Ovis aries: one gene and its partner. The protein of the gene in region 2 binds, or shares a complex with, the protein of the main gene of each other region. Links are inferred from orthologs where the notes say so. Each region holds a gene or a part of one and is shown on either strand. Other genes may lie near its edges. The genes, in order: BAD and BCL2L1.

What was found.
Region 1: the proteins of BCL2L1 (region 2) and BAD are in contact, whole or in part, in a crystal structure (PDB 2BZW), measured with the Mus musculus proteins. The link is inferred for Ovis aries from reciprocal best matches to the Homo sapiens genes BCL2L1 and BAD. Residues at the interface, in NP_001276645.1 of Mus musculus: Ala93, Glu96, Phe97, Arg100, Tyr101, Arg103, Ala104, Phe105, Leu108, Gln111, Leu112, Gln121, Ser122, Gln125, Val126, Glu129, Leu130, Arg132, Asp133, Asn136, Trp137, Gly138, Arg139, Val141, Ala142, Phe146, Asp193, Leu194, Tyr195, Gly196; in NP_031548.1 of Mus musculus: Ala137, Leu141, Ala143, Ala144, Gln145, Tyr147, Gly148, Arg149, Leu151, Arg152, Met154, Ser155, Asp156, Glu157, Phe158, Glu159, Phe162, Lys163.

What each region holds. Positions count from the first base shown.
Region 1 is NC_056074.1:39,033,926-39,038,308, forward strand, and holds the start of BAD (bcl2-associated agonist of cell death), read right to left. Parts: upstream 2,979-4,383; 5' UTR 2,551-2,978; exon of another isoform or gene 1,913-2,550; 5' UTR 1,905-1,912; coding exon 1,718-1,904; exon of another isoform or gene 1-1,717. Other genes in the region: integral membrane protein GPR137, read left to right, coding at 3,984-4,340. UniProt on the Homo sapiens protein: Promotes cell death. Successfully competes for the binding to Bcl-X(L), Bcl-2 and Bcl-W, thereby affecting the level of heterodimerization of these proteins with BAX. Can reverse the death repressor activity of Bcl-X(L), but not that of Bcl-2.
Region 2 is NC_056066.1:60,937,029-60,941,308, forward strand, and holds the start of BCL2L1 (bcl-2-like protein 1), read right to left. Parts: upstream 2,978-4,280; 5' UTR 2,938-2,977; coding exon 2,374-2,937; intron 1-2,373. UniProt on the Homo sapiens protein: Potent inhibitor of cell death. Inhibits activation of caspases. Appears to regulate cell death by blocking the voltage-dependent anion channel (VDAC) by binding to it and preventing the release of the caspase activator, CYC1, from the mitochondrial membrane.

The DNA of each region.
Region 1 (4,383 bases), on a different chromosome or scaffold from region 2:
ACAGAGGACCCTGGTGGGCTACAGTCCATGAGGTCACAAAGAGTTGGACTTGATTGAGTGACTAACACTGCCCTCTGTCTGCGGGCATCCCTGCCAGCATCTGTCTTCCCACAGATCTCTGTCTGGCTCAGCCCTCATCAGATTCTAGCCTTGGCTCAAATGTTGCTTCTTACCAAGGCCCTAGTAGCTCAGCTGGTAAAGAATCACCTGCAGTGCAGGAGACGTGAGTTCGATCCCTGGGTCAGAAAGATCCCCTGGAGAAGGAAATGGCAATCCACTCCAGTATTCTTGCCTGGGAAATCCATGGACAGAGGAGCCTGGAGGGCTACAGTCCATGGTGTCGCAAGAGTCAGACATGCCTTAGCAACTAAACCACCACCACCAAGGCCCACCCTGACCACCTCAGTTCAAATCACTCCCTCGAGCCCCCAAGCACTCTGGATTCCAAAGAGAAAGTCAAGGGTATGTCACCTAAGGCATCACCTGCTAAGGTACCGTATCACTGACTAGTTTGTTTGTTTCTTTGTTTATGACTTGTCTCCCCCTATCTTCCAGAATGTAGGCAACCACAAGGGCAAGAGCTTCTCTTCTAGTCCCTGATGAACCCCTGGCAGCTGGTACACACATTCAGCACTTGACACAGAAGATGGGGACAGCCAGATACAGGGTGGAAAGCAAGTTTCAAGCAGAAGAACTCCAAGTGCAAAAATCTCGAAGTTAAAGCCTGTGGAGTTCAGTGTGACATACAGCAGGCTGGGTGGTGGGGGTGGGGTCTTTTTTCTTTTAATTTTGTTTTTTTTTAGAGATTGTATCCCTAATAACTGAATATCAACCTTTTTTCTTTCTTTCTTAACTGTAATCCTAATTCCCTGACCAGGCATTGAACCCCGGGGTCCTTGGTAGTGAAAGCACTGAGCGTTAACCACTGGACCACCAGGGAACTCCCTGGGGTGGGGGCATTAATAAGCCTTCCTGCTCCTGAAAATGGAAGGGTGTCACACTGGCAGCAGTTAAGGGACATGAGTTTTGTTTTCAGAAGATGTCTGTGGTTGTTCCAGGTGCCAAGGCTTGTACTGGGCACCCAGGTGGTAGGGACTACTAAGACGTGGCCGCTGCCCTCCAGGGCCCATCCTTCCATCTCCGCTGGGTCTCCCTCAGTAGATACAGAGGACAGCTGATGCTTTCCCAGTCCCACACAGACCTGCTGCCTGGTAGGGCCATCTGCCTCTTGGGATTACCTGGCCCTGGCAATGTTAAGGACAGCCCTGTGTGGGTGTGAGCCACAGGGCGGGAAAGAACAGAGCTGGGAACTGGATCCAGATCTTAAGGAAAGCACTAGCCTGAGGTAAGGCACCACAGAATCTTCTAGCCCAAAGGAAATGCCAAGTGAGTGTGACCTTAGGCAAGTCATTTCCCCTTTCTGGCCTCTCAGTGATTCTCTCCTGGTCCTAAGCTAAGAGCTACATACTTGGAGCATTTACTAAACACCAGCTCTATAATTAAGTGCTTCTAAGGTATGCTTGTTAATCTTTCCCACAGCACTACCAGGGTGGTGATGAATTGCTGTTTTACAGAAGAGGAAACTGAGGTGCAGAGCGGTGAGGGACTTACTCAAAGCCCCCCAGAATGTGGATGTGGCTGGGGTGCAGAGAACTACTGGGCTGGAGGCAAGCTGGACAGGCAGGTGGTTGTTGGGTGGGGGGTGGGGGTTGCCTACCTCCATGGTGGCTGCTGCCGGCCGGCTGCCCCTGCTGGTGACCAGCTTCCCCCAGGAGGCCCGGGGCTGTTAGCCAGTGCTTGCTGAGACCTGGGGGCCTGTCCCCTGTGGGGCTGGGGCCCAGGCCCCTATCTGCAGGGCTGGAGTCTTCCTGCTCACTCTGCTCAAACTCTGGGATCTGGAACATGCTCTGGGCTGCAGGGGGGCAAGATGACAAGTAATTAGAGAACAGCAGGAGCTAAGGGTGGCTGGCAGGGTTGGGGGCGCAGGTGTCCCTGGCTCCCTCTCCCACCTCAGCACCCCAGGTCCACCCTGCCTCCCTGGCGCACATCTATCCGTTGAGTCTGGCCCGGCAAGAAGCTCGACTTATCCACCCAGGATCTAAAACTCTCAGAGCTCTAGGGCTGGAGAGAAGCCTCAGGCCCCTGCCCAGGCTTCAGCCAGACCCGCCCGCGGTAACGGCACACAGATCTCACCCCAAGCCCGATAACCAGGCCCCCGACCCGGGCCCGCCGCGTCCCTCTAGCAAAAAGAGAGCCCGGCCCTAGTTGCCTGGGTAACGGAAACTGTCACCGGCCCGGCCCAATCAGCTCTTGAGATGTCACTAGCTGGCCAGCAGGCGGGGCCACTCCCCGGGGCCCCGCCCACTGCCTTCCTTCTGATTCTCTTCTACGTCTCCGGATGCTCAGCTCCTGACTTCCTTATGCCTTGGGCGTTGTGGGAGCCGCTGAGGGATTCTCCGGGGTCCCCATTTGGAAGGCAGCTCCTGCTGACAAATCCTTCAGCCCCTCTGGGACTTAATTCCCACTCCTGTAAAATGGGGATAATGACACCTCTTTCAGGAGTCAGTGATCCTTGTAAACTGGGCGGTGATTACTGTGGGTGAAAGCACTTTGCAAAGCCGTAATCGAAGTTCAGCCGTCGGAGGCAACTGTTGTTGCTGTTGTCACTGCTCCATCCGAACCGGGTGACCGGCTCGGGAAGCGCCCCTCCCTCCTCCTCGCGGTGGAAACCTCGCACCGCCCGCGTCAGGGGCGCCACTCCCCGCACCAACTCGGGGGCACTAGAGATAAGCGAGGGAGCCTCCACCCGGGGCAGGATGACTGTCCCGGCGCAGAAGGGAAAGGGGCCCCTAGGAGGGTGACAATAGGACTTGCGGAGACCTCGCGCCTGGCAGGCGGCAGGCCAGGTGAGCGGGAAACGCAGCCAGCCAAAGAATGGGCGGGCGGGCTTGCGCGGGACGCTGGGGGCCCCCGCGGGTAAAGGCCCGGGGGGCGGGGCCCGGAGGCCATCTTGGCTGAGGGCGGAAGTTTCCCTCAGAGACCGAGTGAAGGGAAGTCGTTACCGCCCCAGGTCGGGCGGCACAATCTCGATTTGGGGATGGGGAAGAGAAGCCTGGGAATCGCCAGCTTCCCATGGAAGCGAGGGCCTGTAGCTCTGGGCAATGCCCACCAGGGCGCCGGCCGGATGCTGCGCAGCCGGAAAGTCAAGGCCGCTCGCCGCCTCTTATAACCCTTGGCACCCGGCGGTGGCGCAAGTTGCGCCAATTCTCGAACAGCTCCGCGCCGGGCGCGGCGCGGGCCTGCGTAGTCAGGACTGGACCCTGAGCAATTTGCGTAGCGAACGGCGGCCGCGCAGGCGCAGGAGGGGGCGGAGCAGCGGGAGCCGGGGAGCCGGAGCCCCGGGTCCCAGCGACCGGAGCCGGCTCCCCTAGCCGCGGCCTGAGGACCGGGCGTCGGCCTCCTCCCGCCCCCCCGCAGTTGGAGAGTGGACGCAGTGGGGGGTGGGGTGGGCCAGCGTCCGGAATCCAAGGACGGAAGGCAGAGGCCCTCCCCATCCGGATTGTTGGAGGGGAGAGAGCCCTCCAGTTTGGGGAGGGGGAGAGCCAGACGTTGAGCGTCCCCAGCAGCGGCCGCTGCTCTGAACAGACTGGCGTTGGCCGGCTCTCCCCCTCCTGCCGGGACGACTTCAGCGACCGAGGCCAGGGACCCCCACTCCTTCGGCTTCTTCACCCCCATCCCCCCACTTCCCCACCCGCCTGTGCCCTGAAGAGGAAGAGCTGTCTTTTCCACACCCCGTAGTGAGGGACCCAGGTTGCCTGTGCCCCGCAAAGGCAAGGGGCCCTCTGTCGAGGGCGGGAGGGCCCGGCCAACCACCACTTCTTTCCGCCTGAGCACCCTACAACTCCCACCCCTCCGTATTTATTTCCTTGGCCCCCTGCCGGCCCCTCCATCTCTGTCTTCAGGTTCAGGCCTCCCTCCCTGACATGGAGAGTAACCTGTCTGGCTTGGTGCCTGCTGCTGGGCTGGTACCTGCGCTGCCGCCCGCCGTGACCCTGGGGCTGACTGCAGCCTACACCACCCTGTATGCCCTGCTCTTCTTCTCCGTCTATGCCCAGCTCTGGCTGGTGCTCCTGTATGGGCACAAGCGTCTCAGCTATCAGACGGTGTTCCTGGCGCTCTGTCTGCTCTGGGCTGCCCTGCGTACCACCCTCTTCTCCTTCTACTTTCGAGACACACCCCGAGCCAACCACCTGGGGCCCCTGCCCTTCTGGCTTCTCTACTGCTGTCCTGTCTGCCTGCAGTTCTTCACACTGACGCTCATGAACCTCTACTTTGCTCAGGTAACCATGGTGATGGGTGAGGGTGGGCCCATGGGGTAGCAAG
Region 2 (4,280 bases):
AAAGACCTACTACAATGCCTCACGCATAAGATATACTCCGTAAAAGCACATTTCCTTTTCCTTTCCTGCCAGGATGCTAAATTTAGAGCATATCCGAGTGGAATGGTCCGTAATTCTTACATTCATGGATCCCCCAGGCACAGCCTCCAGGAAGGTTATGAGATGCCACTGCAGCAGCCAGTGTGCAGCTCAAACAGAATGGTCCCCGAGAGGAAGTGGGCGGCACCTTCTACCCAAAGGATCCCAGTGTCACATGTTCTCTATCTCCTGGCCTCGGGAAGAACACGTGCCCAGAAACGGTTCTGATATAACTGGCTCTTCTGCACACATCCCCTCTGTCCACCAAGAGGAAGTAACACATGGTATGCTGTTGGGCAAAGAGACAGCAGAAGATGGAATGTCAATCCAGTGGTGATCTAATGATCTTGCCCAGTGTTGCTGTGTCAAAGACCTCTTTCCACACGCAACACTGGGTGACTAACAACTCTCTGGTCCAGGTGGCCCTCTTAGACAACTGGCTGGCAGGCCAGGAACCTCTCCCATGTTGCCTTTTGTTAACAGTTGGCCACAACCCACATGGAATTAGGACCACCAGCCAGAGATAACAGTGAGGGGCAAATGGCCCAAGTCTCTACTTAGGCCTCAGAGGGTGTGTCAGAAACGCTGGAATCCTGTCCCTCCTGTAGTAAGTTAAACAAATATTTGCCCCTAAAGAAAATCAAAGCAGGAGGGAAAAAGAGAGGTCATCACACAAACCAACAGGAACTATTTAATCATTTATTCCCCCAGGGAGTTCATTTACTGAAAGGCTTTCAAGTTGGGTCAGTCTGAGCCAAAGAAAGCCCTCCACCTTTACCTTCCCAGCCCCACCCCGGTCATCTGACCTCTACTCTGCTCTTTATAAGAACTGGCAGTGGGAAGAGTTGATGAAGTTGCAAAGAAATGGGAAATAAGACAGGGGGTGGTGTACCTGGAGGTCCCTTGCTCAGTGGTAAACTGAAGTGGCTGCCACACCCTAGGCCCAGCCTCTGGATAATTGCATTCTTAACATTCCTGAGTCCATGGTGCGTGGCCCTTTCCACCTCAGCTCCTTCAATAGATGACTTATTTTCCACAGCCTGCTCAATTTTCTGAAGGACAGAATGAATACCTCTCTTAAGCCCTACACCTCCCTGAGGCAGGGAGATAAGCGAGGAGATATGACTGAGTTCACTGCAAGAGAGCAAAAGCTGCTGACAGTGACCACAGGTAAAGAATCCCTCCACACCAGCTCATCCTGACTTGGTGATATCAGGGCAAGGGAATTCTCTTCCCTGGCAAAGGAATGAGGCACGACTCAGTTTCAGAAGGTGTACCTGGATCTGACAGTAACTACTAGAGCAAACTTCCTGTCACTATGCTCACATCAGCTCCAAGATTTACAAGGACTGCAAGGCAAGAGGGTTGGCCACATTTTTTTAGTGGAAGAACCTGAGGCTCAAGGTAAACTGGCCTGTCCAAGGTCACACACCTAGTTAAGTGACAGGGCTGGGACTCACATCTGTGTCAGTTTGTTTCTGAAGTCTGTCACTGAATCTCAATGTCCCAAGGAGCCCCAAAGATCAGGTTCTTGCATTGCCAGCAAACAGTGCTCAGTGAAGAGGCCCCAGGGCCATGGCAGAAAAGTGACAAGCATAACAGCTGGAGCTCCCCAACCAACCCAGGCAGTGAGGTGCAAAGTCCCTGGGCTGACAGCAAGCGCTCCGCAAACTGGCCAACCACACAGAAAAGTCGCATACTTTAGAGCCAATAAATATGGGGCACAGCACAAACACAACTGGCCCATTGGCGCAGCTTACAACCTAAAATCAGACAATCCTCAGCCATCCAGAGGGATGCAAAGCCAGGCCATGCAAACTCTGAAATAAGGGGAACCTGATTTGGAGGAGGGAAGCCCAGGACAGGATTGACAGCTCAAGGGAGTAAGACTGAAGGGGCTGGTGGGTCACTGATATTCACTATCTTCTCCAGGCATTCCACTCATCACCCCTTAACGTTGTGAGCCATTATGTCAGGGTGAGGGGTAACCTGTTACCTTTGCATTCTCAAAGGTTTGGGGCCAAATGAACACACAGGCTATGTTATCTTCTGCAGAGAAACTGGAACACAAGTATGACAGAGTAGGGTCACGAGGAAGACCAGAATGAAGATGTCTGGTCCTCACAGAACTAGGTCATCTGTATTTCAGAAGTTAACCTCTGTGATACAAAGAGGCCAGTTATGTCTCCTTAACAAACAATAATAATCACCCAGCACAACAGACACAGGGGAAAGGTTGTTGGGGATTTGACCAGAAGCCAAGGAAAAGGAATACATAAGGGGCGTGGTTCTTACCCAGCCGCCGTTCTCCTGGATCCAAGGCTCTAGGTGGTCATTCAGGTAAGTAGCCATCCAAGTTGCGATCCGACTCACCAATACCTGCATCTCCTTGTCTACGCTTTCCACGCACAGTGCCCCACCGAAGGAGAAAAAGGCCACAATGCGACCCCAGTTCACCCCGTCCCGGAAGAGTTCATTCACTACCTGTTCAAAGCTCTGATATGCTGTCCCTGGGGTGATGTGGAGCTGGGACGTCAGGTCGCTGAATGCCCGTCGGTACCTCAGTTCAAACTCATCGCCTGCCTCCCTCAGGGCTTGCTTCACCGCTGCCATGGGGATCACTTCCCGGGCATCCAAGCTTCTGCTGTGGCCGGTGGCTCCATTCACCGCAGGGCTATCCGCCAGGTGCCAAGATGGGTTGCCATTGATGGCACTGGGGGTTTCCATATCTGATTCTGTCCCTTCTGGGGCCTCAGTTCTGTTCTCTTCCACATCACTAAACTGACTCCAGCTGTATCCTTTCTGGGAAAGCTTGTAAGAGAGAAAGTCAACCACCAGCTCCCGGTTGCTCTGAGACATTTTTATAATAAGGATGGGCTCCACCAGTCCATTGTCCAAAACACCTGCTCACTCACTGGGTCTGGTCTCTGCTTAGTGGTTCTCTTCGAAGATCCAAAGGCAAGACAAGGTTCTGAAGGGAAAGAAAGAGCTTCAGGGGGGAAAAAATGAATATGCAAGCCATTTACCTACAATATCCCATTCCCCACTCCAGGTACTTGAACTGGGTTCTCTGCCGCTCTTATGAAGATATGGGTCTAGCTTCCCAGGTACTTCGATGAAGTCAATTTGAAAGCACCAGTGGGCTCTGAATCATCACACCGGCCTTTTTTTCCTCCCCTTTTATCCCAGCCACCCCCTTTTCTCTGAAATGTCTTCCTCGAAAAGTCACCCCCATGGGCAGTCTGCCCCCCACCCCCATAAACCCTCACCACCTACATTCAAATCCGTCTCAGGCGACGGCAGGCAGGTGCAGCCCCCGGAAGATCTTTTGTATCATAGGTGGGAGAGGAGGTGGCAGCGGGGATGCCGGTAAGTCAACCGGCCTCGCGGCGGCGGCTGGCAAAAAAAGCAGCTCCGGCTGGAGGGATCATGCGACCCGGCGAACTGAGAGCTCAGGAGGCGACACAGGAATTACGAAGCTCAAGAACCGGCCCCCTCGCTTGCTTCCTCCTCCATCGCCCCGATCGAGGGCGGCCGCTGCCGCGGCCTCCTGCCACCCGGGAGCCCAGCCCCCTCGCTCTTGCACGCCCCTTGGCTCTCCGCCTCCTACTGGGAGCTAGGAGAACTCTCTCGGAGGTGGCTGGTGTGAGCTTTAGTTTTTTTTTTTTTTTTTTTCTATTTCAGTATCAGCCCTGGGTGAGGCTTCCGAAGAAACCTTGAAGGGACTTCTCGATGGGGCTCAAGGTTTCGATGAGAAACAGAGGGAGGGGAACACTGCCTTGGATCTGCGGTCTGAGTTTGGAAAGGCCATCCCCGGGCCTTTCTGGGAGGCTGAAAGCCGGAGACCCCCCAGAAACGCCGCTGGCTTTCTTTGAATTCCCCAAAGGCCCTGGTAGTGGCGGTGGCAGTGGGGGATTGCCGGGTCCTCCATTCCCCGCACGGACACAATGGCCGCCGGCGCCCTGCACAAAGACCGGGCGAGGGTGAGGCGCCGAGCCTCTCCACCGGTCAGAGACAAGGGTCGAGGCCTGCTCGAGACCCCCCACAGCTGAGACTACGTTTTCCTGGGGACAGGCCCAGGCTGGCTTCTTGGCACCCCCGGGAGCTTAGGGGCCCGGGGTTGCACCTCTCTAGAGGCCGGGGTGGGTGGGCTGCGGCCTCGCGGCTTCCTCCGCGCGCTAGGCCGGGTACCCGCCTGGCCA